Linked DNA regions of Daphnia pulex. The protein of the gene in region 1 interacts with the protein of each later gene in a pairwise test. Links are inferred from orthologs where the notes say so. Each region holds a gene or a part of one and is shown in the gene's direction. Other genes may lie near its edges. The genes, in order: tuftelin-interacting protein 11-like; puff-specific protein Bx42-like; leukocyte receptor cluster member 1-like; methyltransferase-like protein 17, mitochondrial; histone acetyltransferase Tip60-like; exosome complex component RRP46-like; bystin-like.

Region 1 (4,280 bases):
CGGAAATTGTGTTGATTCTATTGCAAAGTGCAACTGTGACTCAGTGGCTCCAGTTCAATTAGTCGATAACGGTAAGAGTTGAAAACGATTCTCGGAATTATACAAGATTTATAACAGAACATTAATTTTCTTTCATGAAAAATTATAAACAAATATGTTGAAGTTAATATTCGTGATCTCCTCGTCTTTCCGTGTGACAAAAATGACTCAGTAAATATTCTCTTTATTTTTTTTTTGGCTTCAAATGTTTTTAGGTGTCATTACGGACAAAAATGTCCTGCCCGTCACCCGCTTGAATTTTGGCCGAACTCAACTGGAAACTTCGTCGGGCATCCACACGCTTGGTCGATTGGTGTGTACCGGATCAGTCGCCCTGACTAGAATGCCCACGTCATGTAAGGATCTTTGGTTAATTGGCCACACCCTCAATGGATTTTATTCCATTATGGGATCTACGACGATGGAATCCGTTTACTGCGATTTCACCAAAGTTCCTGGCGATGACGGTAAATGTTTATTTTTTTTTCTCTTTATTATGCACTCTGAATTATTATTTAATAACAACAAATTATTTCTAAAAAAGGTTTCGAGAAATGGATTGGATACGCTGATGTCAAATCAGCGCCCGCCCATTTCTACGTTCAGAGAAGTTCTTCATTCAACACGGAGTTGGTTCCAATTCCTTTTGATGTGGCGCGGATAAACGTGGGAAATGCCTTTAACTTAACAACAGGAAAATTCACGGCCCCACGATCAGGAGTTTATTCTTTCGCTTTTACTGGATCGGTTGAACTTCCGGCTACAACGTCTCTAGTTCGCTTGCAAATCATTCTTTATCTGAACGGGAATGGAGTCGGGATTGCTTATCTCGAAGAGGGAAACACCGTCGCTTTTCAAAATGATCAGTTGTCCCTCCAGTCGACGCTGAAATTGAAATCAGGTGATCAAGTTTGGGTTCAGATTCAACAAATCTTACCAGGGGTGTATTTGGCTGACAACGGTGACCACTACACTCATTTCACCGGTTTCATGTTGGAGGAAGATATTGCCTCGTCTCTTTGAAAATTTCAGCTGAAGGAACATCCAAAATGCGAAAATCGACCATGGACTGAATTTTGACCCGATTATTGAAAAATATATTACGAGTGGTAGAAAATAATTTGATATTAATTAATAAAGGAATGGTAATTTGCTGGAGTAGGATTGAAATAAGATTTTTTTTTAATAAGTAAAAGGGAAGGAAGTTCGAACTGGTATCACATGTTCAAACCGCTGGGACCTGTTATACGCGCTCGCACTACGTACCTGGTTACTGTTTAGCATTCTCCAAGGTAGCAGAAGAAATATAAAAATACTAAGCAACTTTGTACTTTCAGTTTTAACTGTGTTGTGTGTTGTTAGTTTGTGTTCTTCAAACTAAATCATTATTTGATGTGTTTCTAACTGATACAAAAGAAAGACATATATCATCAACTTATTTGGTTAATTTTCATCATCATTTTACTAAATTTTTGAAAATGGCTAATGAAGAAGAGATGGAGAGTTTCGATGTGTCAGAAAGAGATTTGTATGATGCTTTCCAACCTGGTCAACGTCGTTTTAAAAAGATGACGAAAAACCAACAGATATATGGAGTATTTGATGAAGATGAAGGGGAAAATTTCACTCAGCGGTCAACGTCATCTTCTGGCCGTCCAGGTTTTTCCAAATCGTCAACAGCCAAGGATTACACCACACCAGTTGATTTTGTCAAAGGTGGTGTTCAGCAGGGATCAAAAAAGGAGAAATTACCTGAGAAAAAAACCAAGCTCTTTTCGTATTCAGAAAGGTATGCCATTACATAGTTATCTTTCAAAGACAATTACACAGTGCTTTTCTGATTTTATAGTGACGAAGAAGATGATTCCCACAATAGTGCCAGTGAAATCAATCTTACAGCTGGAAAGAAAACATTGCAGGACAAGAAACAGCCCAGAAAAATGTTTGATAGGTTCAGCAAAGATGCTAAGAGCTCAGGTGCTGGCGATCTTGGTGAATGGGAAAAACATACTAAAGGAATTGGTGCTAAGCTTCTATTTCAGGTGTGTCAGTTTTATTTTGTTGAATGCATCCCAACAGATTAATTTACTATTTTAATAATTTTTCTTTGTTTAGATGGGTTACCAACCTGGAAAAGGACTTGGTAAAGAGTTGCAAGGAAGAAGCCAACCTGTGGAAGCTCAGGTTCGCAAAGGAAGAGGAGCAGTTGGTAATGAAACATTGCTTTTGATTTTCACTTAACTTATTGATCTCTATTGTTGCAATTTCTTCATGTCATAGGTATGTATGGAGCTGAACACAAAAATGAACCTGCAAAGAAACAAGCATCAGATGATGAAGAAGAGAAAGAGTTCAAGAAAAACTTGGCCCACTGGAGAAAAGGTAAAGAAAAGTTAATATACTAAAATAGTGAGTAATCTTTTAAAAAATGAATATTAGATTTAGTCGAACCATCGTCGAAGAAAAAAAAGATCCAATATATGTATCGTACTTCCGAAGAAGTGATTGAAGAAATGTCTAAAGGTGGTGTTCATAGAATGGCTCGAGAATACAGGTAATAGTATTGAGATTTTAAATCAAGACCTTTCATTTTTTCTGCATGAAATCTAAAACACTGTTGTATATATAGTGAAATTTCCAAAGCCAAAGTGATTGATATGACAGGCCGAGAACAACGTGTTCTTCAAGGATACAGCGCTCTGAGAACCAAAAGGACGGAAGAGCCAAGCGATTCCGAACCTGCACCAGCTGGACTCAAAGTTGATAAATTTCAACTTGAAAAACTCTGCTACAACTTGGACACTCTAGTAGACCATTGTGAACACGTAAGATATTATTGTCACAATTATTTGGATTTCATAATCAATTCTGTTTATCGTTAATAATAGGAAATTATTCAAAATGCCAAAGAACTCTCCTACAATCAAGAGCAAATATTGGCCATGGAATCGCAAGTGAAAAATATGAGCGTTGAGGTTTCTAAGGAGATCACACGAATGGAAATGCTTACATCGATGCTTGGAGTCCTGGAACAGCTTGAACTGAAACAGGCGACAAACGAGCTATCTCTAGACTTCCTTTGGGAGCAGATAAGGAATTTGGAACAAAGCTACCCGGAAGAATACGTATCGTCGGATCTAGCCAACGTTACTCTGACTTACCTCATTCCCCTAATGAAGTTGCGATTATCAACCTATTGGCGTCCCATGGATTCTAAATCAACAGATGAAGCTTGTCGTTTAATTTTTCAACGATGGAGACCTATCTTGGAATTTTGCAACAAGACTCAGACCAACAGGTAAGAATATTCGGTGGGAGGTGGGAGTGAGTTGCTTTGTAAAACATTTTTCAAAATTCACAGTCGGGGCGGAATTGTTAAAAATGATAGTCGAATGGATCCTTATCACGGGTTGTTATGGCATGCCTGGATGCCAGCATTTCGAGGACTCGTTGGACAGTGGACTTGCAAAAATGCGGATCCAATGGTTGACTTGATCGAGTCGTGGGAGCAAATTTTGCCAAACTGGATCATGGAAAATATTTTGGATCAACTCATTCTTCCCAGAATACAAAAAGAAGTAGACAGTTGGAATCCGTTGACTGATCTCATTCCCATTCATGCCTGGATCCATCCCTGGCTTCCCCGACTAGGTAGTGCATTTATACTCGTGTTAGATAGTTGCATCATGTAGTAAATTTAAATAATTTCAAATTTTCAGGATCAAAACTGGAAATCGTATATCCCAACATTCGGCATAAAATGGCACAAGCGTTGGTGGCTTGGTCACCGTCAGATCAGTCTGCACGGTATTTTTTTTTTTTTATTAGTTTTTAAAAGGCTGACTATCTTTAACGTGTAACTTAATATATTGTGTACTTCCGTATGGATTTTTTAGTTCCGTTTTGATGCCTTGGGTTCCCGTTTTCTCCAAGGGTTCCATGGATGCTTTCCTCATCAAAAATATTTTACCAAAACTGCAAGTTGCTATTGCAAATTGGGACATAAACCCCAGTCGACAAGAATTAGGTTCGTTACTACAATACTACAGAACTTAAATACGTTTATTAACTTTTACATTGAATACATAAATAGATGTTTGGCACTGGATAATGAACTGGAAAGATCTTATGCCTTCCCAAAGCCTTATACAATTACTTGTGTAAGTATAATCTTGTATCATGGGTTTAAACTAAAAAGTACAATCTTCTGTTTTATTATTGCAGGTCCAATTTCTTCCCAA
Region 2 (4,182 bases), on another chromosome or scaffold:
ATTGCCATGGGGAAATGTCGCGGCTTCCTGATACATTTTCATAAGAAACACACGCATATCTACTTGAATGAACTGTATACATCCTGCATGCATTTATTATTGTTCGTCTTAATGAGATGCTCGGTGCTGTTGCGTAATTAACGTGCCTCGGGACCTCAACTATCTCTCTCTCCATGGGCAAATAACTTGAATAATAAACATGACTGCTGCCATGGGCTTATCTGTCAGTAAACTTCACCATCAGCTGCTGCGCCACAAGCACCCCGGTGCCAAATCAAGTTCCCCTTGTGCCAAGGCCTACATAGTATAGTCTGAGCGAGACAAGGCGGCCTATATCGATCGATCCGTCCAAAGAGCCTCAACCAACCCCCACCACCCAGCCAACTGTATTATCGCACAAGGGAAAAGGCGAAACTGCTATACACACACATATATAGTCTTGGATCAAATAGATGATATATATACAGAGGAAGAAGAAGACTTTGATAATGAGACGTGCTGCTGCTGCCGTTCCTTTATTTATTGGAGACCGGCATCAGCACATCTCGTATTGATTTCCTGTTGCAAAGAGAGCAGCCGTCGTCGTCGAAAAGTTCCCAAATCTTGTCCTACAACTGTCTCTCTATTATCGGATGTACTGTATGCATTGTGGATGCATTATAAAGCCCTACGCCGCAAAAGAGATTTATTGGCCCACACATTGAAAGTCGAAACGGAAGGCGGAAGAGAGACGGAGATGAGGCGAGCTCACGGTCACCGCACATCCACATTTATCATTTGTTATGGGACGAGACTCTGAACTGCCTCGCTGATTCGCATCGCTTCAAAATGAGAATCTATTCACTATAGTATATCAAACTCTTACGTTGGCATTTATGGCCACCGGATTTCAGACTGTTAAGCCAGCTATCCGTTGATAAATCAGATGGTGCAACCCTCCCAACGAGAACAGCATTTATTTTTACGACTGTGTCGTCGTCGTGGGATATATTGGCCAAAGTGAAAGTTTTTAAGGTGTTTACTTTTTTCATATGGCGATGCGCTCAGTTCCGCTCGGCGTCCAACTTGTAACACAGAGAGGGTCGATTTCATCAGCGCTCACTTTTACACGTCGGCGTTAATTGCGTTGCATCAAACGAAAAACACAGTGGGCGGCAACTCGTTATATTTTGCCTTGCCATTAGATGTTATTACAAGCAGATTGCAAGAGACGCGAAGTTCCATTAGAGTTGACAAGCGTTCGTATTTCAACTCGGGGCGGGTATGGATTACTTGACTTTCTTATTCTTTTCCACCCACTCTCGACTTTCATCTCATTACCGTAAAAAATGCCAAGAACGGCTGCGAGGAGAAGGAAAAAGGTTGTTGACTGCGCTCTTATTTTTTTATGGAACGGAGAAGAAAAACGTCGGAAGGAATATGAGAGAGAGACTGTAATAAGAAAAGGCGCGCTAACACTCTCATCTCAAGTGCGTCTATTTATTCCGCCCATCATTAAACCTTATTGGATACATCCAACGCAGAGCATACACACACACACGGCGCCACAATCTTGTAAAAAGTTTTCAGGATCGATACGACGTTTTTCCTTTTTTTATATAATTCCCATCACGTCTTGAGCGCCCCATCCCATTGATGGAGACACAATTTTATGTAAACTCTGGATAATTTAATAATATTCTTTTTTTTTTAATTTGTATCGAATAAAATGTCGATGTTGCGAAAAGCCGAAAATATCCCGCATTTTATCTCGCTCTGTTGCGAAGAAACAATCTGACAACGTTGCATCATAAATTATTCTCGAGTTACAATTTTTGTATTTGGCAACATCTTGGTTGAAAGACTCGACTGAAAACATGGCGTCGTTATCAAGGTATAATAATTATTTTTTTGATTTCCTTGTATTTAAACTATGTATTAATTATGGTCATGTTATTTTATACAGTTATCTCCCAGCGCCAACGCAGTTGACGTGGGATCGAGATGTCGAGGAGCAAAAGGAACGTGCTAATCGCCAAACGGCCATCGTGGCCGCCACAAAGGCAATCCCACCATACGGAAATCGCGATTCATGGATGCCTCGAAATGTTTCCGATTTCGGAGATGGAGGTGCTTTTCCCGAAATTCACATGGCCCAATATCCAATGGACATGGGTCGCAAAGACCAGGCTGGACAAAAGTCAAATGCCTTGGCCATCCAACTTGATGCAGAGGGAAAGATCAAATATGATGCTATTGCCAGGCAAGGCCATGGGAAGGACAAACACGTCTACTCCAAATTCACTGATCTCCTGCCTGCTGAAATTACCAATGAGGATGATCCCTCTTTGCACAAGCCCACAGACGATGAAATTGCAGATATAACAGAGAAAACGAGACAAGCCCTGGAAAGAATCACCAATGCCAAAGTAGAAGCAGCTCTTCCAGTCCGTGCCGCAGAGAGAACTGGCCCTGCTCAATTCATTCGCTACACACCAGCACAGCAGGGTGATGAATTCAATTCTGGCGCCAAACAACGCATTATCCGCATGGTTGAAGTACAAAAAGATCCCATGGAACCCCCAAGGTAAATTTTAGAAAAAGTGCCATTTCATTTCATTCCCATATTGACTGATTATTTTTCACTAGGTTCAAAATCAACCAAAAAATCCCCCGTGGTCCACCTTCTCCTCCTGCCCCCGTGTTGCATTCTCCTACACGTAAAGTAACTGTCAAGGAACAACAGGAATGGAAAATTCCGCCTTGCATTTCAAATTGGAAGAACGCTAAAGGTTACACCATTCCTCTTGACAAACGTTTGGCAGCCGATGGTCGAGGACTTCAACAGGTGCCGTCCCTAACGACCTAAAAACGTGTCTTTCCCCAATCAACTAAATGTTGTTGTTTCTCGCAGGTTCACATTAACGAGAAATTCGCGAAATTGGCCGAATCATTGTACATAGCCGATCGAAAGGCCAGAGAGTCGGTTGAACTTCGCGCCCAACTTCAAAAGAAACAAGCGCAAAAAGAAAAGGAAAAGAAGGAAGATACTCTGCGACAGCTGGCGCAGCAAGTCCGCGAAGAGAGAGCAGGTCTGCGACCCGGTGCAGGCGCTGCTGCTGCTCGTGAAGACGACGATGATGCAGCGGAGCGTGACAACTTGAGACAAGAACGGCATCGTGAGCGTCAACGTGAGCGCAACATTGCACGCGCGGCTCCCGGCGATAAAAAGTATTAAACATTTGATTTCCTTTCAACTTTTTCCAGTCAATTAATTAACAATTTCCATTGACGCGTAGATCCAAACTCGATCGCCAACGCGAGCGTGACATTAGTGAGCAGATTGCATTGGGGATGCCTGCTCGAGCTTCTGCAAGTGGCGAGACCATGTACGATCAGCGTTTACTGAACCAAACTCGTGGAATGGACAGTGGATTCGCCGATGATGAGGCCTACAATGTCTACGACAAACCTTGGCGTGAACAAGGAACTCTGTCCAGTAATCTCTATCGTCCGACCAAGAACCTCGATCAAGATTTGTACGGCGACGATTTGGATAAACTTGTCAAGACCAGCAAGTAAGTTGACCTACTTTCAAGGTGCATTGGTTTATGAAGTTGAAACTCATTTTGTTTTTCATTTGTTTACAGGTTTGTACCTGATAAGGAATTTAGCGGAACTGATCGTTCTGGTCCTTCCGGCTCCCGCAGTGGTCCAGTTCAGTTTGAGAAGGAAGAGGATCCTTTCGGCCTCGACAAGTTTTTGACGGACGTCCGCAAGGCCAGTAGCAAACGACCCACTGACGCGGAACGCTCAGACAAGGACAAGGATAAGAGACGGCGTCGAGACTAAATATTGTTTTTCTTTCCGTTGACGATTTCGCAATTTGTTTCATTTTACCTCACACAAAAAAAAATCTTTTTAAAAAAACCACAAAAACAATGATTCCTTTTCTCCAAGACCAGAATACATTTCAAATGAAATGTCTGTGACTAGTTTTATTTATTCATTGATTACGAGACAAAACACTTGATTCAATACTGTAAAGTGACGAAACATTTTGCAAGAATGTACATAATGGTAAATCGAAAATGCAGCAGAAGACTTGAATATCACCAGACAAGTGTAAGTAATAATCATCATGAAAAGAGTCCAGTGGAAAGTCCACGATAAAAACACCTAGCCTCCAGAAGCCTGTGTAGC
Region 3 (3,140 bases), on another chromosome or scaffold:
GCCAGATTCCAAGGGTCGCAACTCGTCTTGTCTCCGCAGGTGAACCTCGGGGGTGCCACCAACGTCATCTACGGGATTCGCTGTCGGAAATGCGATCGCCGACTTGGACCCTGTAATATCAACTACGTCGGCCAGACTACTCTATCGCTACGTGAGCGGGTCGATCAACACGCCTGCGCAGCAGCAAGAACGTTCATCAACGGCATTACTGAGAACACACCGTTTCGACCCATGTACGAACATGCTGCCGACCGTTCCCTCCATGACCTACCGCCGGGTATCCTACCACGGCAGGTTTTCGGTGAAGTGATGGAAGTGATCCTTCTGCCCACTGGTAGTGGTGACCTTCGCTCGTGGGAATGCTTTTGGCAATTCTTTTGTCACTGCAGGACCTTCTTCTATGGCTGGAGTCATCAATAAGACTTTTAACTTGTAAGCAGCATCCGGTGGACAGTATCGCTTGAATGTCTTCATTGCCTTTTATAATAAAACTAACGCTCTTTTCGTCGTCCGTCGTGTGCCTAAATTCTAGAGTTCCTCCTTAAAGTCTTAATAAATCATAACAAAATAAAAAGTAGAATTGCATTTAATTGTTATTTAATAATATAACAAGTGAATTTTATGCAAAGATTTTAACATGGTTCTATCAGAATCTAATTTGCATTTAAATCAAATGTTTTTTTTTTTAATGCTTACAAATTTGCAGATCCAATAGGCCAATACATTGAGCAACTGGCCCAAGGGAAAAATAGAGGTGTGAATAAAGTATGGGCCGGTCCCACCCTCTTTTCATATATTTGTAGAAAAATAAATTATCAGAAAGATTGTACCGTGAAACATGCAAACGATCGTCAACGTCAACGGCTACGCTTGAAGTGTGTGGGTGGAAAAATAGACAGAGCGTTTTCAAAGACTCCCGACTAGTCCCTTCTGTAGTTCTGTTCCATCCAAGCTCTTAACAATATAAAAAAATTGGTTTCAATATATCTTTTTTTTTTTTTAAATTGGTTTTTATGTTATAAAAAAACAACGTTGCATTTAAAAAAAAAGTGGCACAAACGGCGTTCCATGAAAATGTCGTATGGTCAGACGGGTCAGAACTCAGAATTCAATTTTGCAAAGAAAGTAAGAAACTCGATCGAAATCACGATGAAATCGTTTAGCAAGTGGGGCTTTTCTTTTTTGAATTTGAGCCAACATTTTTTAACTGTCAAACCTTCCGCTAGGTGGTTGTTGTTATTTTTATTTTCTGTCAAGTTGGGGATAAAGTTGGGTTTGTAATCGTTCTTCGGGATGAACATTTTACCCAAGAAAAGGTATTCCCGTTTGTCTTAATTTATTCTCACTTATGTCATTTAACTAATAAGGATTTCCTGCGTATTAGATGGCATGTGAGAACCAAAGACAATATAGCTAGAGTTCGACGCGATGAAGCCAAAGCCGCCGAAGAAGAAAAGGAAAAACAAAGACGTGCTTTACTTGCTGTAATTAATTTTTAAAGATGTCAATGAATCAAGAGAAACTCATGATAAATTAATGTTTTAGGAGCAAGAAACTAGAACCACCATTCTGAGGACTCGGGCAAGAGAAAGACAAGGTCTCACCTCAGTAGAAGAGTCAACGAAAAAGGAAGTCCCATGTACCACTGAGACTCGCTACGAGATTGTGATCAGGAATGGAGCATGTGTGTCTGTTCCTATAACTGAAGAGAAGAATCTTGTCCAATTCACCCCATCTGGTCATGTAAACTTCTTTGCCAACTTGGAAGAGGGCAAACAGGTTGAAGGAGTAGCGAATAAAGAACATGAACTTGAAAAGAAGAAGGAACAAGAAGACTATGAAAAACAGATTGGTTTACTCACCTACTTGGGACAAGGATCAAGGGAGTCGACTGGTGAATCTGCTTGGTATGAGAAACCTTCTCTGTTAAAGACCCTGAAAAATCAGACCCAAGAGGACATCAACTATAAAGCAGAAAGAGCTAAAGACATGTTTGATCCCCTTCGAGTGATCCGGCATTATATAGGAAAACCGGAAATTCCTAAGAAAGATCAAACAAAAAAAAAGTCTGAGCTTCCTGACCTCCGATTTCCCGCTGCTAAACCAGAAGCAATTTCATCTTCAAGAGAAAAACGGCACAAGAAAAAGAAGAGGAAATCAGAAAAAGAAGAGAAGAAATCTAAGAAACACAAAAAGGATAAACGTCGTTCAACTGACGATTCTCAAGCAAGCAAGAAAAAAAGAAGAAAAACAAGTAATTCAAGTTCAGAGGATTCTACTTCAGAATCCTCAAATTTATCCGAAGACTCTGATGCGGAAAAGGAAAAGCGATTGGCAATTTTACGTGCCAAGAGACTTCAGCGTGAAAAGGCTGAACGTGCCAAAGCCAACAAACTTTTAGCCACCGTCAACGGCACCATTGCTGCAACATCAAAGGAAAAGCAATTGAGCCGATCAAGCACTGACGACAGCGATTCTGATGAAAGGAAAGTTAAGGCTAAGCCGAAACAAAAGTATCATTCTCAATATAATCCTGATGTTGCTAAACAAAATCAACCACTTGATTCTGCAACCAAGTATTGGCTGCAGTAATAATTTTGTCCCATAAAATTATTGAAATATACAAGACTTTTTTCATGATTGTAAATGTATTTCTCTTTTAATTAACAAGAGTGAAAAAAAAGAGTACAAAAATTAACCATTTTCTCCCTCAACCATGATGAGCAAGTAAGAAAAAAGTCCTTCATATAAACCCTCAAAAACAGAACAACCAAAAGAAAACCATAAGAAAAAAAAATTACCAGTGATAAGGTAAATAATAAACACAACCTGTCTGAATAAACAATATTAGATTGTCCACAGCAATAGTGGAATGAATGATCATTAGCAATTAGAAATAATCACAATCAAGTCCATCACAATTGAAACTACCATCTACTGTTTACGAGGTTGTTGAATGAAATTAATTTTGTTGCCATGCTGACCAGCACCAGCATCATGGTTGTGAGTGGGAACTGGTTTCTCATGAATGGCTCTAGCTGCCTCGGGAGAGAAAACCTCCTTTTCTTTGACCTGGGCTCCAGAAATCACCACAGTCTTGGGCCTGAAAAATAATTAAAAATTTAGTAATCATGTAAAAA
Region 4 (3,937 bases), on another chromosome or scaffold:
GACAAAAGAGAGATTAAGAGTCATATTTATTTCGTCAAGCTGGAGGAATCATTGACTGGCCCAATAGGACAGGCAAAAATACGCCTGGCACAGGAGCTTAATCCACTGGTTGGGGGTTGCATGCTATTGAAAGAGCACCTGGAACTTTGGAGCGTAAGTCAACAAATCAATCAATCACCGGTGCCATACGTGCTTGGATAGCGCTAGATTTTTATCGATTTTTATAATTAGCCTATTAGATTTTTTGTTCAACGCGACAAGCGAGCCACCTAAAACCGCCTAAAACAAACAATTAAATTGTGCTTGATGCGCTAGGTTCCATTTAGCGCAATTCGTTTTATCTTATGATTTCCGGAACGCGCAAGCACGCGCGCATATACGTAATGCCCATCGCGTAAGGAATCCGGCAGCTGGATCCATTTATTGTGAAAAAAATTCGGATAGACCGTAAAAACAATTTTGTCATGACATACAGTACTAAACTCCTAATCCTAAGCTCCCTTGTAAAATAAAAACGAAAAAACCATGCTGCTAACTACAAAATCATGTATGTAAAACTGAACGCTAGATGGCTACGTATTTAAAAAAGTCACTACATACGATGCCAGATATTCGATTTTTAACATTTGGTACTTGCGTCGTTTGGAAATTAAGTCGTCGGGACATAAGTCGTTTGGAAATTAAGTCGTCGGGACATAAGAGCATTGGATCTTATAACCACAATTACCGGAATTTAAAGCAATCGGGTACATTTACTTTCGGTACGCATGTCGTTGGAATAATTCGACAATGGGACCTATGTCTATTTATGACAATTTGGAACCAGTGACGCATTTAACCTAACGCCACTGGGACTGGGACTTGCGTCCTGCTCCGTAGGAAATGCAGAAGCATAGACAAAGACCACTGGTTGATGCTGTCCATAAGAAAATTAACATGGCCAACTGTCGCCAGAATTCTTGCTACCCTTCCTCCGATTTTCCCGATTTTGTTTTGCTTGTCCTGCCCTCTAGTGTACGTTTTATTCTCTACACTCTGCTTACATCTATTCCATTGCAATCATTCAATTGATTTCTCTGCTTTTGCAATTGGCAAACGTCAAAATTTAATACAAAATGACTTTTAAGTAAAAATTTGGATGAAAAAATTACCTAGAACTTTTAAACGCCAGCAAAGAATTTTACCAAGACAGAAGGAAAACAACTTTCGTCTGCAACACCCTTGCTAGCCACGGTGCAGTACAGCAGTTTATCCGCTAGGGGCAGGACAAGCAAAACAGAAACTCGGGGTCAGTAGGGACAAGTAGGGATAGGGCTAAAAGGATAGGACATGCGAAACCAGTCTTCTTTATCTATGGCAGAAGAGTCCCGTCCTTAATTAAAGTAGTCCATGCTGTTTAGTAACACCCCAAATAACACGTGTGTCGTCTGTCTGTATTTTCTTTAAAAATCAAAATGTTTTCTCCAAGATATTTACACATGCAAAGTCGTATATATGTATCAAGTAAGAATTTCAACAGTTCATTTAGTACGTCTTCACGTCCTATCGCCAAATTTGACGTGTCTAATGGCAAAGATTCAGACAGTCAAACGTCAGAACTTAATCCGAAAGGAAAGCATCTTGGAGTTTTCAGTCATAGTACTGTGAAATTGCCCGAACAGTTGAAAAAAGCAGTTGATAAAATTCTTAGTAGTTGCACAGATACAAACTTATCTCAGAATGCCGAAATTTTGAAAAATCATTTAATCTTCAAGAAACCCCCATTAACTGAGACTAAACTTCAAGAAATAAAAGTTAGATTCACTGAAAAGTTGTCTGCAGCTCACCCATCCCCAGGTAAATTCACTAAACTTCCCTTGATTTGATTGAATTGTAAACACCATTCCATGTTGAAATTTAGATAACTCGTTTTTAAGTGCTGAAGACGAAAAGAAAATACAAAATACTTTAAAAAGTAAAATACAAAAGGTTGTAAGCCAAAATACCTACAGATGGAAACCAGTGATTTACAACGAAGCAGTTGCTTTGACTTATCTGGTGGCACGAATAGCCCCAGAATATGCAACATTATACCAAATATTTCAGGAAATATGCAGCCGAGACCAAAATTTCCAACCACAAACTCTGTTTGATTTTGGGTCTGGAATTGGCTCAGCACTATGGTAGATATAAAGCTATTAGTTCATTGATGGTCCCCGTCACTGTGTGTTGCACTATTATTTTATTTTATTTTATATTTTAGGTCAGCCAAGTCATGTTGGGGTGATAAGAAATTTAAAGAAGTCTTCTGTGTTGATTCTTCTGTTGACATGAATAACCTAGCCCTTGCCCTCATTCAAGGAGGGGTTTGGCCTAATAAAGCATCAGATTTTAACCCAATAGATTTGGATGAGAAAGAATTTTCATCTACCATTAAAGGCCTTTATTTCCGACAGTTCATGCCTGCATCCTCTGCTGTAAGTATTCCTTTCATGGGATGATTTTGTAAAATTAATCTCTGTTCAATTTTAGGTGAAATATGATCTTGTTGTTTGTGCCCATTCGCTTTTGGAACTCCCTTCAGCAGAGTTACGTTTACAGATAGCATTGTCGTTATGGCGTAAATCACAAGGTTATTTGGTATTTGTAGAGCATGGAAGTCGAGCGGCTTTTGAGGTAAGATAATGCTCATTTATTCGTAATTTTAAGTGTAAATTAAAATAATACAATTGATTATAGGTGATAATGGAAGTTCGCGATTTTTTACTTAGTTTATCAGAAGGAAATAAGGAATCAAATCTTCAAGGCTATGTTTTTGCACCGGTAAATTGTAACGTTACTGTAACTATTTGTGTTTATTTAAATCTTCCATCGTTCAATAGTGCCCCAACAAAACACGATGTCCACGGCTAGCTGAAACAACTCCTTGCAACTTTGAAGTTAAATATGAGCCCCTTCAAATAAACCAAAGAATACAAAAAGAGAGGTATTCTTATTTAGTCTTGAAGAAAGGTAATCTGTAGTGTAACATCCCTGGCGTATTCATTCAATTAACAATTACGTCATTCTTAGGCCAGCGGCCTGATGAAGACTTGCAATGGCCTAGAGTAGTCCGGCCTGTTCTCGTTCGATCTGGTCATGTAATATGCAGACTATGCACTCAAGAGGGAAAGCTTGAAGAAATCGTTATTACTCGAGCAAAAAACAGCAAGTAACTAACTTTAAAAACCTCACTACTGAATTCAATTTCAGTAAGTAAAATCGTAAATTTCTATTTTTAGGTTAGAAAATCTAATGGCTCGTCGAACAAAATGGGGTGATTTGTTACCTGTTCAACTGTCTCGTCCTGATACAACAGAATTAGAGTGTACATTGGAAGACGAAAAAAACCTTTAAAATTAATGGTTTATTGGTGACTTGGTGAGTCATGAAACAAAGAAAAGATTGATTGCTACTTCTGAAATTTATATCCAAATCCGCCACTTCCACCTCGTCCTCCAAATCCTCCCCCACCTCCTCGTCCTCCAAATCCTCCTCTTCCACGGTCACCTCCGCCCCTGCCACCAAATCCTCCTCTTCCTCCGCGATCTCCACCTCCACGACCAAATCCACCACCTCCTCCTCTGCCAAAACCTCCTCTACCACCGGCACCACCTCGACCTCCCCCGCGTTTGGCTACGCGACCAGCTCCTCCTGGTTGAGGTAAAAATCGGCCCAATGGCAGTAGCTTTGCAGGATCAATGTAAATCTAAACAAAAAAATTTAGATAAATATAAAAACAAGTCTAGAGTAACAGTATCATATTCTTACCTTTTGATTGGGTGTAAATGATTTAGCTTTAACATCTTCACTAAGTTTCACTGAAACTGAATACTCTTTAATGGAACCAAAAATTTCATCAACTTTGCCAATCTGCTGCTTGTTTTCCAAATAAATTGGAGCATTGAAGTATGGAATA
Region 5 (4,148 bases), on another chromosome or scaffold:
GACGACCATCGAATCAGTTGTGAAGGCCATGTTGAAATCTATCGAATCTTCGCTATAATACGCCACTAGAACACCACCCATCCGGTCATAGACGTCATCAGACAGCATTTCTGAATGGATGAACTCGTCACACATGAGCTCTTTCAAGTGGAAAGCCGGATCTCCTCGCTCTAATATGGTTTGACCAAGCTTCTTGGCCAAGGTTGTTTGGATGAGTTGCTCGCCACAACCAGAAGTTGACACAGCAACACCACCGGAGCTGGAATGCTGCGCCCAACAACCACAGCCGTAAACTGGCACCTATCGCAATATACACATTGTAAATGACTACTAAAATGACAAGAAGGAATAAAGGAAAACCTGTCCAACTCGGCCGGGAAGCTTCATAGCAATTCCTCCCGAACTCGATGCACTTGCAATGTCACCATTCGTATCTATGCAAATTACTCCTACTGTATCCTAGATTTAAAAAATAACCATGATATTTGGATAACATTACTTTAGGAAACCAAATATATTACTTGACTTGGGTTTGGCTGCACTGTGATCTTTAGCCCACTTGATAAAGCTTTTCTGGATACTTCCAGCCGTTCTTTATATTTCTTATACTTTCTCATGGCTTTGTCAGATATAAGAGTGCTATTGTGAACAAGATTCAAACCTCGGTTTTTAGCAAAATCAGACGCTCCTTCTCCTACTAGAACACTAAAAAAAAGGCTGTGTTAATTTAACCACTCATTTTAAGTGATGCAAATGGTATTTTGAATTACAGTGGAGGTGTTCTACCAAGAAGTCTTGGTTCATTCTGGTATAAAATGATTTCTTTGGCTACCATTATAGGATTTTTAATACTTTTAAGTGATGAGACTGCTCCAAATCGTGTGTTTCTTTGATGTTTCAAAGACAACATGATTCCTGCATCACATTCAACTTCACCGCTCTCAGTGAGATTGGAGCCATATCCTGCATTAGTTAGTGGTGAATCTTCTAATATGCAAACCAATTCACACGTAACATCTAGTGCAGATTTTCCTTCTTGCAATAAAGCTGCTCCCTGGGAAAAACTTATCAAGTCAAACTATGAAACCATGAATCACTAATAGAAAGCCATGCCTTTTCACACGTTATTTTGCAAAGTTTTTTGTAAATAGCTTCAGATTTTGAACTATGGCAGCCTGCTCCAAGATGAATAGCAACAAATCCATACTGTGACATTTTTGCACTTTTATGGTTTAAATTTTGTCGAGAATTTTCATAACCGAAATTTCATTTTACAATTTGAAATGGGACTGATCGGTCCAGTTTGTGAGAGAGCTAGCAGAAGACTACCATTTCCAACCGGCAAAAGCGGCAATGTCGCTCATGGCCGCGCACTGTTGTTTTGAAAGCTTTTTCTCTAATGAAGACCGAACAGTCATTGTCAAAAATGAAAGAAGAGATTGTAGATAAAGATCTGTTTTCAGATTCAACTGTATGAATTTTTACATTATTTCATTAGAAACCATGTTTAATTTTGTTTATTCTATTATCTAGGCATCTGTTGTTGAAGGCTGTCGGTTGCCTGTACGGATGAGAAACACCGAAGACTGGCGTAACATTTGTTGCTTTGTTATCATTTTATAGATTTGAAAGTTTAATTGTGGTTTTTCTTTTGTTATCATTTAGCTCTAGCCGAAGTACTCAGTGTCAAAGATATCTGCAACATCAGGATGTTTTATGTCCATTACATCGACTGTAAGTTTTGTATATGCTATGTTTAACGATACATCATCTTACAAAATTTTTAATTCAACTCTAGTCAACAAACGACTTGATGATTGGGTCTCAGAAGATTTCTTAGATACGAGAAAAATTCAGTTTCCTAGAAAAGATGGAACTCAAGTAGGCACAGGCATGAGTACTCCTAAAAAAGTTGGAGGAACAACTGGTTCTTCCCGTCCTTCTTCCCCACTAGCTGCATCCAGTGCATCAGACCTTACTGTCAATGGGTCTGCTCTACTGGCTGCAGCAATACAAAAGAGAAATGGAAGAAAACGTAAAATTGGAGAAAAAGAAGAGCCCAGTCCAGGATCCATTATTCCAATCCCACCTGCCAAGAAACTTATAAGTAAAGTTATTTTATTTCATTAATTCTTTACATTTTTCATAAATTCTTTTAAATTTTATTTTTATAGAAATTGAAAAAGAATTACCAGCAATCCCCACTCTGCCACCCACCGTAGTTAGCGATAGTTGTGCTGTTCCTACAAGTAATTAGTCATTTTTTCTACAATCTATTTATTATATATAAATGATTATTAAAACTAAAATTTTCTGCATAGGTGATTCAGTTTGTGAGGTAGGAGATGCTAACTCTCCGGCCCCACCGTCCACCCCTGCACCGACTACACCAGGGCCACGTCAGTCGGGCAGTCTTGTTACACATCACGATGACGTTGTAACACGAATGAAAAATATTCAAATGATTGAACTCGGCAGACACAGAATAAAACCTTGGTATTTCGCACCCTACCCTCAGGTATGTCATCATCTAACGAACGTAAAGATCCGAAATGTTTACTATTCTTTTTCAAAAATTAGGAAATGGTTCACCAAGCTTGTATTTACATATGCGAGTTTTGTCTCAAGTACCGGAAAAGTGAAAAATGTCTAGAACGTCATCTGGTAATTTAAAATTTTACGATATATTTTTAATTGGATGATCAACCCTTAAACTTTTTCTACAGATGAAGTGCAATCTTAGACATCCGCCAGGCAATGAAGTTTACCGCAAACAGACAATTTCTTTTTTTGAAATCGACGGCCGTAAAAATAAAGCATACGCTCAGAACCTATGCCTGCTAGCGAAACTGTTCCTTGATCACAAGACACTGTATTACGACACTGATCCGTTCCTCTTTTACGTCATGACTGAAGTGGATGCACGAGGTTTTCATATCGTCGGCTACTTTAGCAAAGAGAAAGAAAGCTCGGAGGACTACAATGTCGCCTGCATCTTAACATTACCACCCTATCAACGGAAAGGATATGGAAAACTTCTTATTGAATTCAGTGCGTACAGAATCGTAAACCCAAGGGGAAATATTTTTTTAAAACCATTTTTGTTTACGTAAAGGTTACGAGCTGTCCAAGTTCGAAGGCAAAACGGGCTCGCCAGAAAAACCTCTGTCCGATTTAGGGTTGCTGTCTTATCGCAGTTACTGGGCTTTTACAATCTGTGATATTCTGATGAATATGAAACCATCCAGTGAAGGTGAACGTCCTCAAATTACCATCAAGTAAGTGATGTAAATTACTTCATTCTAGAGCTCACGTTGACAAACGAATTCGTTTTAATTTAAATAGCGAAATTTGCGAAATGACGAGCATTAAAAAAGAGGACGTGGTGTCCACCTTACAGCATTTGAACCTCATCAATTACTACAAGGGGCAGTACGTACTCATTCTGAACGAAGAAGCGATGAAAAATTGCATAAAAAACAAAGAGAAATGGAAATTACACATCGATCCCAAATGCTTGCACTGGACACCGAAAGACTGGTCCAAAAGAGGGAAATGGTGATGAGATCGCACCTACAATCCATTCCGCGATCTTGCTACTTCTTTGCTTTTTTTTAAAAAATACACTCACAATTTCTATGTACAAGAATTCCAAATTCAAATGTCCTGTTTCTCTTGGTTATTCTTGTCTGTTACGACAACAGCTTCACGGTTCTCGTATGTCCAAAATCCATCCAAATCAATCAAGATATTGATCACAGTTTCACCGTATCCACTGAGCCAGAAAACGTTCAATGACAATCTTATTCTAAAAAAATTCTAAATGAACTTTGTGTGTTACCAGTTAATCAAATCATGTAAAGTGATTTTTGACGGATCGGCAGGACGCACCATATCGAAAATCTCATCATTGACGTCGTCAAAAGCAACGACTTCTTGTTTGTGCTGCTGCATCAACTCTTGAACCCCCTGCAAAGCATTTTTTTTTTTTTCAAGATAAGAAAGTCAAAAGGTCAAATGAGGAAATTAATACTTTGAAGTAAAAATGGAGGTCAAAAGTGTTGAGATGGTTTCGATGATTGACGTCCAACAAACGGAAAAAATACTGAAGTGCTTGTGGTTCCTTTTTATTGTCCATGGCCAATACG
Region 6 (2,893 bases), on another chromosome or scaffold:
GGAAAATATGGAGAAAAATTCCGAATACAACAGCTTAGCAACTTAAAAGGCAAAAATATACACGGCAAACACACTTAAGCAACGACAGTGATGACGTAATATAATCAAAACAAAAAAGCTCTCTGGTTACTACAATAAAGGCGTTGTCAGGTGTATAGTGATGCATGGACGTGGAGGTAATTGGATCGGCGTGTAATGTTCAAAAACACTTACCCGTTGATTAATAAAGTTGCAGGCCAAATCTTTGAGCGTTTTCAGCGTTAACTGGGAGGCATCCGTGGAGATAAAGTCTCGTACCAGTCCAACTTGGAACATAAAGGTCACCTGACCATTACCATCATCCATGATGGAGCTTGGATCCAAAATTTTATGAAAAACACAATCACAATTATGGCGAAGTTTGACTTTTGGATGGCAGTGAAATTCGCACACACACAAAACTGGCCCTTTTTCGTTGGAATAGTCTGTGTGGTTGGTGTGTGTGTGTGCAATCAGGTGGGAGCAATGGAGTAAAAAAAAAAAAAAAACGGGTTCCAGCAACCAACAGGTTGATTGGAATGTCACATAGCCTCGGGCTGAGATCACCTTTTCTTTCGTCGTTCTCCCGCCCTGGCACCACTTAGATTTTTCCTTTTCTTTCTTCTTCAAAGAAAAAAGGTTGGGTTTTTACCTCCACTTGATTGCACGACAAAACTGAGCAACACGACTGTTTTAAAACCAACACAGATGGGAGCAGCACAACGCGTGATAACACGTTGGTGATGAAAAAAGTCGGTGCGAATAAGAGGGACTGGCTAATGGAAATGCCCAAACTAAATTCAATTAATACGCAGGTTTCCCAATCATGATGGCACACACAAAAAATTCACGTATAAACATCACACACACACACACACACACTAGCACACTTTACGTTCTCTCGAGAAATGCAGAAACAGACTCACGTACGTGTGTGTGTGTGTTTCTGACCGTGCAGCTCAAGTCACGATAACTTGGTAGTCTGCCGAGCTAATAAATACTGTCGCTACTCGGAGATCCGTCTTTGGCTTGCTCACAATTTTCTGGCCAAAAACAGCGTTGCCATTCTCTCGTGACTGAACGAACGAAATCCATGAAAAATACATATTCATAGCTACATTGGAAAATTGTGAATTTTTCAGGTCTTCTTTATTACAAATATAATAGTTGTTTTAAATTCATGGAGTTAAAAGTTATATTTTGTGTGATTAAGTAAATGGTTGCCATGGTAACTTAGAGACATCTGCAGACTGCTGTTGCCGACCCGTCAACCCCATGTATTTTTTACGATCACGTTGCTTATGCAGAAACAGGGCTGCGTTCTTAATCTGAATTATTGAATACTTTTTCAATCACAAAGAATTGCTTGCAATATTATTATTCGCCATGGAGACTGAAGAGAATAGCATTCGTGCTTTAAAGTGCGAACAAAGCGTACTGTCACGTGCAGATGGCTCGGTGATGTTTTCTCAAGGTAAGTTTAGATTTGTAACTTTTTCCACGCTGTTTTCGTGTTATTTTGTCCAAGTCGGTAAATTTTATTTTATTGACTTGTCATTTCAGGGAATACTGTGGTAATGGCTTCAGTTTATGGACCTTTGGAGGCTAAAATTCAAAAGGAACTGTCCGATAGAATGTACATTGAACTAAACTACAAGCCAAAAACAGGAATGCCAGGTTATTAATAACTTATCCTGTGTATTATTATTTCTGTAATATTGAATGCATTTTTATTTAGGTGTTGCTGAGCGTGGAAAGGAGAAACTCATCAAGACCACTTGTAATCACATTATTTTGACGAACCTGCACCCTCGAACAGCTGTCTGCATAACAGTTCAAGAAATGCAAGATGGTGGAACTGTAAGCACTTACCACAACAAATTTATTTTGATCAAGAATTAGTTGTTCACATTTTCCATAAACTAGTTGCTAGCAGCCTCCATCAATGCTGTGTGCCTTGCACTTCTTGACTCGGGTTTACCCCTGCAGTGTCTTGTAGCTGCAGTGACTTGTTTGGTAGACAAGAAGGATAGAATTGTCCTAGACCCATGCATCAGCACAGTCAAAGTATGATTTCCACTAAGAATTAACTAATTTTTTTCCCCCATTTTTTGTTGTTGTGCCTAACTTACTTTTTTCCCCATTACAGGAAGGTTATAAAGCAATGTTTACCTTTGCTTTTGACAGTCAAAAATACAACTTAATTCTGAGCCACTGTGAAGGCCAAGTTCCCTATCAACTTTTTCAAAAAGCCATGGAGCTGTGTCAGAAAGCCAGTCACGTCATCTTTGATTTCTACCGGCAAGCAGTACTACGAAAGTTTTCCAACGAACTTCTGTAAAACTTTCAAAAAATACACATTTTAAAGTTTTGTATATGCGACTGAAAACAAAGTATAATTGTATAAGTATAGGCTTGCTTATTTCCAGTATCGTTAAATTTCTTCGGAAAACCAATCCATCCTAATATGTCATGCGCATCTAGCAATACTCGAGTAATCACGTTCACCAAAACTATATCTAGAAGGTTTCCTGCCCGGAGCTTGGCTCCAATGCAATGCGGTACAATTTTGACACAAGTTATTTAGGTATAGTAAAAGTGCCGATTGTGAAATCAGAAAAAAAATAAACTTAACTTTGAAACAAACTCTTCTTAGAATGACATATGGTAGGTAGTTCTACCATTTTTAGGATTTATTCGGTCGGAAAATGTAGCATAAAGGAATTTCTTTTATGGTTATTCTGAAAATTTATTTCAAGGTGGTCTGGATATATCGAGTGCGATTTCAGCCTTTACGGTAATAGGCCTTGAAATGTTTTTCTCAATTAGAAAGTTTAGCCAATTAGGCTGTCAAGTCAAAGTCAACACAAATAAA
Region 7 (3,981 bases), on another chromosome or scaffold:
AAGAAGACCAATCAAGGATCCTGATGTCTTGTAGCACAGCCCAAGAGATGTGGATGAAATTGGAGACTGAGTATGAAGAAGATGCCGCAGACAATGCACCTCTATTGTGGACAAAGTTCTATGGATGCACATTTCGACCAAGCCAAAGTGTATCAAGCTTCCTGACTGAGTTGGAACAGATAGCATTCCGTCTGAAGAGCCTCAACATAGCTATTGATGATAATCAAATAATGGCAAAGATACTCATGTCGCTTCCTCCAGAGTTCCGTGTTTTTGCCTTTGCATGGGACAGCACGCCTGTTGCAGAGAAAACTCTCAAGAAACTGACTACTCGCCTTATAGCATTGGACAAGAGCCTGCGCAACGACGAAGAAGCAAAATCGACATCTGATACTGCCTATCTCAGTAAGCCGAACAGAGATGAATCACAGCACAAAGAGCAAGCACTTCCTGCCCAGTACGGTCAGAACAAAGGAAAAAGCCACCCTTCCAGTCAACATGCTGGTATACCGAGAACATGCTGGGAGTGCAACTCCACTACGCATGTTAGAGCTCAATGCCGTCAATACAAACGCCGGCGTGAGAGAGAAGGAGAAGAAGCGGACAGAAAAAGGAAGCGTTACGATCGACATGACAGAAGAGATGATAAACTATGTAAGCTCCCAGGAGCAACTGGCCGATGCACTCACGAAACCCCTGGCTGCTCCACGCTTCAAGTATCTCCGTGACAAGATTGGCGTTCGGGGTGTAGGGGAGGTGTAACTGAAGAGTTAAAGGAGGCTGATATTTCTTTTCTTATTATTTGTCTTGTGACACTGAACCTAGTATTTATGTCTGATTCAAATATGCTGTGTATTCTGTGCTCATGTTTATTTTTGGGGGTCCAGTTTGAGGGGAGGTGTTGAGTATAAAAGATAAACAAACTGGACAGTGCGGCAACGCAGGATAGCCAGGAAAGAAGAGAGGGGGAGAAGGACCTACCCAGACAAAGGAATAAGAGAGGGGGACTCAGTGCTGTTGACGATTGTGGCTAGGCGAGTAGCAATACAAAGCGTTCTTTGCAGCAAACAGGTTCACGTGTTAATTTCTATATCAACACTGCTAACATAAAGCTATAGTAGCAATATGGTTGTTACACATAAGCTACATAGAATATTACATAGTATACGTGGCTTATAAAAGAGAGGTAGGACCGTAGGAGTAAAAATTATTTTGAATTTTGAGATTCTGTTATAAACGGCGTGTACGTCGCGTTGATTCCTAAATAAGTTATACTTTTTCTCCGTAACTAATTCAATACTTTTTCTCCGTTTTTTGCGCAAGGTAAACTCAGGAGTAACGAAAAAAAGTAAAACCCTTCCGATTCAGAAGAATCCTTAAGCTAAAATAATATATTTAATAATTAAAAAATATAAAGATTGGCTGGAACTGGGAGATGGTCTATTCTATCTTTTAATTTTTTCTCTGAATTTAAATAGCTACAGAGAATTCCTCATAGGGGTGCTGCTTGCGACACGACACAGGGGGCGATGTCACATCTTCAAAAAATTCGGGCCGCCTACATTCTAGGTTACTGTACACACAATTTACATCCCCACGTGTTGTCTAAACATTTGTGAGGTTACCGCTCATAGATACTAGTAAGTAGTAACTAGTAATTTCATTGCAATCCAAGTCTTTACGTGTGTTATCAATAGAAAATGGGTAAAGCAAAGAGACTGAAAGTTTCAAAGACAGGAACTGGAAGAACTGAAGGTCTTGACAAACAGATTTCAAAAGAAGAAATTGCCTCAAGTAAAGGGCGAGTCAAGGTAAGTTTAATTGAAATATTTTTATTGCTTCAAGAGACTTCTGTGAATTAATAGGTGTATCTATTTTGGTTGTTTCAATAGGTCAGAGGGAGAACTGATGCAGATGATGAGTTTGTTGATGATAAACTCTCAGCAAGGATTTTGAAACAAGCCCATCAACAACAACAAGAACTTGAAGAAGAAATTGAAGGAACTGGCTCTTCGTTTAAAGTAAGCTCTACGTTGCTCAAAGTTTTATTAACTTGGTTAATTTTATGTTTACTAGGCAAGAGCCACTTCCTTAGGAGCAGATTTAGATGGAGATGGAAACAGTGAAGAATCAGACTTTGAAAAGGATTCACAATTTGAGGAAGATGTGGTAAGGTTAACTGCTTATTAATCATATCAAGATGATGGTTAAGATACTGATGGTTGACTGTATTCTCTATAGCAAGTTGATGAAGAGGATGAAAAAGCCCTGGCATTGTTTATGAATCCCAACCCAGCACCAAGGAGAACTCTGGCAGACATAATTTTAGAAAAAATAACAGAAAAACAGACAGAGATCCAGAGTCAATTTTCTGAAATTGAAAGTAAGTTGCAAATTTATTTGATTTAAATGGACTAGAAATAACTTGATAACATTTAAGGCGTCAAGTTTCAAGATGTGGATCCTCGAGTTAAATCGTTGTACCTGGGTGTGGCATCAGTTTTACATCGCTATCGAAGTGGAAAATTACCCAAAGCTTTCAAACTGATTCCTTCATTGCAAAATTGGGAGCAAATTTTGTATATTACTGGTAATAAGATTTTCTGTTTGGTATAATTGCAATTAAACTTAAAAACTGATTTGTATGTTCTGCTTTTAGATCCGGAGAAATGGAGTGCCGCCGCCATGTATGCTGCTACACGAATATTCACATCCAACTTGACAGAAAAAATGGCCCAGCGGTTTTTTAACTTGGTTCTTCTGCCACGTGTTCGTGATGATATTGCCGAGTTCAAAAAACTTAATTTTCATCTTTATCAAGCCTTACGTAAAGCCCTCTTTAAACCTGGCGCGTTTTTTAAGGGATTTCTTCTTCCGATCTGCGAGGTTGTGTTAGATTGTTTTTCATATTTTCAAATTGTTTCATATACATTTTCATATTTAATTGCAGAGTGGGACTTGCACTTTAAGAGAAGCCATAATTATTGGTTCCGTCATTGCTCGCTGTTCCATTCCCGTTCTACACTCTGCTGCAGCGATCTTGAAACTTGCTGAAATGAATTATAGTGGATCGAACTCGATATTTTTGAGAATATTCTTCGACAAAAAATACGCTTTGCCGTATCGTGTGGTTGACGCAGCTGTTCATCATTTCGTAAAGTAATATATTTACACTTTTTATGAAATACTGGATTGTAACTCTTGTTAATTAATCTTTCCTTTGTTTGCATGTAGATTTCAGCTGGATACAAGGGAAATGCCTGTTTTGTGGCATCAATCACTTCTAACCTTCAGTCAACGATACAAGGCTGATCTTAGTAGTGAACAAAAAGAAGCGTTGCTTCAAGTGATTTCCGTTCACAAACATCATACATTAACACCAGAAATCCGTCGTGAATTGTTACACTCCTCTTGCAGAGATGAAGAAATGATAGATTAAAATGAAAGATACTGTGAATAATAAACTCGGCGTCTGAATTCATTTGTTTTCTATTCCTAGCAAACAGTGTTTGATTATGAGAAGTCAAGATGGAATGAGATCTTACCTGTGGTTATGAAACGGATTTTTGGAACATTCGTATTTTTAGATGTTATATCATCAGTTGAACGAAATATCATCGCTGAATATCGATTTGCGATACTAAAAGCAACATAAGCCAATTCAATTTCAATATAGGTTAATATACGTTCTTTATTTCCAAGGCACTTCGGAAAACATTGAAAGAGATATTACACACATCTCTTTTCCCTATCCCTTCAAAAACTGTCAGCCAAAAATACATTCGGACTTGTTACGATTTTACGAGGTTAAAGAACGAAACGCTTAAGCATGACGGTGAAAACACAAAAGGTAGAAACTGCGACTGATTATACACGCCTTGAGTGAAACCATTATTAACTAGTGATTGGTTAACAAGATATAAGTTTGATCTGATACCAACATTCATAGGGGGGAGGGGGGGGGGGAAAGGCAAATTATGT

The links.
Region 2: the proteins of tuftelin-interacting protein 11-like (region 1) and puff-specific protein Bx42-like interact in binary tests that used the Homo sapiens proteins (3 or more experiments, as listed by UniProt). The link is inferred for Daphnia pulex from reciprocal best matches to the Homo sapiens genes TFIP11 and SNW1.
Region 3: the proteins of tuftelin-interacting protein 11-like (region 1) and leukocyte receptor cluster member 1-like interact in binary tests that used the Homo sapiens proteins (3 or more experiments, as listed by UniProt). The link is inferred for Daphnia pulex from reciprocal best matches to the Homo sapiens genes TFIP11 and LENG1.
Region 4: the proteins of tuftelin-interacting protein 11-like (region 1) and methyltransferase-like protein 17, mitochondrial interact in binary tests that used the Homo sapiens proteins (3 or more experiments, as listed by UniProt). The link is inferred for Daphnia pulex from reciprocal best matches to the Homo sapiens genes TFIP11 and METTL17.
Region 5: the proteins of tuftelin-interacting protein 11-like (region 1) and histone acetyltransferase Tip60-like interact in binary tests that used the Homo sapiens proteins (3 or more experiments, as listed by UniProt). The link is inferred for Daphnia pulex from reciprocal best matches to the Homo sapiens genes TFIP11 and KAT5.
Region 6: the proteins of tuftelin-interacting protein 11-like (region 1) and exosome complex component RRP46-like interact in binary tests that used the Homo sapiens proteins (3 or more experiments, as listed by UniProt). The link is inferred for Daphnia pulex from reciprocal best matches to the Homo sapiens genes TFIP11 and EXOSC5.
Region 7: the proteins of tuftelin-interacting protein 11-like (region 1) and bystin-like interact in binary tests that used the Homo sapiens proteins (3 or more experiments, as listed by UniProt). The link is inferred for Daphnia pulex from reciprocal best matches to the Homo sapiens genes TFIP11 and BYSL.

What each region holds. Positions count from the first base shown.
Region 1 is NC_060026.1:12,432,152-12,436,431, forward strand, and holds the start of tuftelin-interacting protein 11-like, read left to right. Parts: upstream 1-1,480; 5' UTR 1,481-1,517; coding exon 1,518-1,828; intron 1,829-1,888; coding exon 1,889-2,081; intron 2,082-2,154; coding exon 2,155-2,248; intron 2,249-2,319; coding exon 2,320-2,421; intron 2,422-2,478; coding exon 2,479-2,593; intron 2,594-2,668; coding exon 2,669-2,864; intron 2,865-2,927; coding exon 2,928-3,337; intron 3,338-3,400; coding exon 3,401-3,690; intron 3,691-3,758; coding exon 3,759-3,846; intron 3,847-3,935; coding exon 3,936-4,066; intron 4,067-4,132; coding exon 4,133-4,199; intron 4,200-4,263; coding exon 4,264-4,280. Other genes in the region: uncharacterized protein LOC124205947, read left to right, coding at 1-71, 255-506, 584-1,062. UniProt on the Homo sapiens protein: Involved in pre-mRNA splicing, specifically in spliceosome disassembly during late-stage splicing events. Intron turnover seems to proceed through reactions in two lariat-intron associated complexes termed Intron Large (IL) and Intron Small (IS).
Region 2 is NC_060018.1:215,997-220,178, forward strand, and holds puff-specific protein Bx42-like, read left to right. Parts: upstream 1-1,382; 5' UTR 1,383-1,856; coding exon 1,857-1,873; intron 1,874-1,945; coding exon 1,946-2,566; intron 2,567-2,628; coding exon 2,629-2,827; intron 2,828-2,893; coding exon 2,894-3,210; intron 3,211-3,278; coding exon 3,279-3,557; intron 3,558-3,629; coding exon 3,630-3,831; 3' UTR 3,832-3,966; downstream 3,967-4,182. Other genes in the region: uncharacterized protein LOC124188708, read right to left, coding at 4,119-4,182. UniProt on the Homo sapiens protein: Involved in pre-mRNA splicing as component of the spliceosome. As a component of the minor spliceosome, involved in the splicing of U12-type introns in pre-mRNAs.
Region 3 is NC_060021.1:6,396,198-6,399,337, reverse strand, and holds leukocyte receptor cluster member 1-like, read left to right. Parts: upstream 1-1,245; 5' UTR 1,246-1,293; coding exon 1,294-1,316; intron 1,317-1,384; coding exon 1,385-1,484; intron 1,485-1,545; coding exon 1,546-2,592; 3' UTR 2,593-2,640; downstream 2,641-3,140. Other genes in the region: uncharacterized protein LOC124193654, read left to right, coding at 1-420; death-associated protein 1-like, read right to left, coding at 2,935-3,103.
Region 4 is NC_060025.1:4,359,753-4,363,689, forward strand, and holds methyltransferase-like protein 17, mitochondrial, read left to right. Parts: upstream 1-1,338; 5' UTR 1,339-1,454; coding exon 1,455-1,836; intron 1,837-1,900; coding exon 1,901-2,162; intron 2,163-2,242; coding exon 2,243-2,456; intron 2,457-2,511; coding exon 2,512-2,655; intron 2,656-2,718; coding exon 2,719-2,802; intron 2,803-2,861; coding exon 2,862-2,991; intron 2,992-3,051; coding exon 3,052-3,190; intron 3,191-3,260; coding exon 3,261-3,375; 3' UTR 3,376-3,430; downstream 3,431-3,937. Other genes in the region: H/ACA ribonucleoprotein complex subunit 1-like, read right to left, coding at 3,431-3,727, 3,790-3,937. UniProt on the Homo sapiens protein: Mitochondrial ribosome (mitoribosome) assembly factor. Binds at the interface of the head and body domains of the mitochondrial small ribosomal subunit (mt-SSU), occluding the mRNA channel and preventing compaction of the head domain towards the body.
Region 5 is NC_060018.1:12,586,060-12,590,207, forward strand, and holds histone acetyltransferase Tip60-like, read left to right. Parts: upstream 1-1,348; 5' UTR 1,349-1,399; coding exon 1,400-1,471; intron 1,472-1,533; coding exon 1,534-1,591; intron 1,592-1,665; coding exon 1,666-1,734; exon of another isoform or gene 1,735-1,798; coding exon 1,799-2,107; exon of another isoform or gene 2,108-2,174; coding exon 2,175-2,249; exon of another isoform or gene 2,250-2,321; coding exon 2,322-2,518; exon of another isoform or gene 2,519-2,580; coding exon 2,581-2,664; exon of another isoform or gene 2,665-2,726; coding exon 2,727-3,051; exon of another isoform or gene 3,052-3,115; coding exon 3,116-3,278; exon of another isoform or gene 3,279-3,345; coding exon 3,346-3,562; 3' UTR 3,563-3,649; downstream 3,650-4,148. Other genes in the region: threonine aspartase 1-like, read right to left, coding at 1-300, 361-459, 522-705, 771-1,054, 1,114-1,215; serine/threonine-protein phosphatase 2A regulatory subunit B'' subunit gamma-like, read right to left, coding at 3,658-3,775, 3,842-3,969, 4,034-4,148. UniProt on the Homo sapiens protein: Catalytic subunit of the NuA4 histone acetyltransferase complex, a multiprotein complex involved in transcriptional activation of select genes principally by acetylation of nucleosomal histones H2A and H4.
Region 6 is NC_060020.1:3,912,812-3,915,704, forward strand, and holds exosome complex component RRP46-like, read left to right. Parts: upstream 1-1,255; 5' UTR 1,256-1,404; coding exon 1,405-1,492; intron 1,493-1,581; coding exon 1,582-1,695; intron 1,696-1,756; coding exon 1,757-1,878; intron 1,879-1,944; coding exon 1,945-2,085; intron 2,086-2,167; coding exon 2,168-2,359; 3' UTR 2,360-2,393; downstream 2,394-2,893. Other genes in the region: serine/threonine-protein kinase D1-like, read right to left, coding at 214-345. UniProt on the Homo sapiens protein: Non-catalytic component of the RNA exosome complex which has 3'->5' exoribonuclease activity and participates in a multitude of cellular RNA processing and degradation events.
Region 7 is NC_060024.1:1,297,751-1,301,731, forward strand, and holds bystin-like, read left to right. Parts: upstream 1-1,498; 5' UTR 1,499-1,640; intron 1,641-1,697; 5' UTR 1,698-1,700; coding exon 1,701-1,811; intron 1,812-1,892; coding exon 1,893-2,021; intron 2,022-2,076; coding exon 2,077-2,169; intron 2,170-2,241; coding exon 2,242-2,383; intron 2,384-2,440; coding exon 2,441-2,590; intron 2,591-2,659; coding exon 2,660-2,886; intron 2,887-2,950; coding exon 2,951-3,159; intron 3,160-3,234; coding exon 3,235-3,439; 3' UTR 3,440-3,481; downstream 3,482-3,981. UniProt on the Homo sapiens protein: Required for processing of 20S pre-rRNA precursor and biogenesis of 40S ribosomal subunits. May be required for trophinin-dependent regulation of cell adhesion during implantation of human embryos.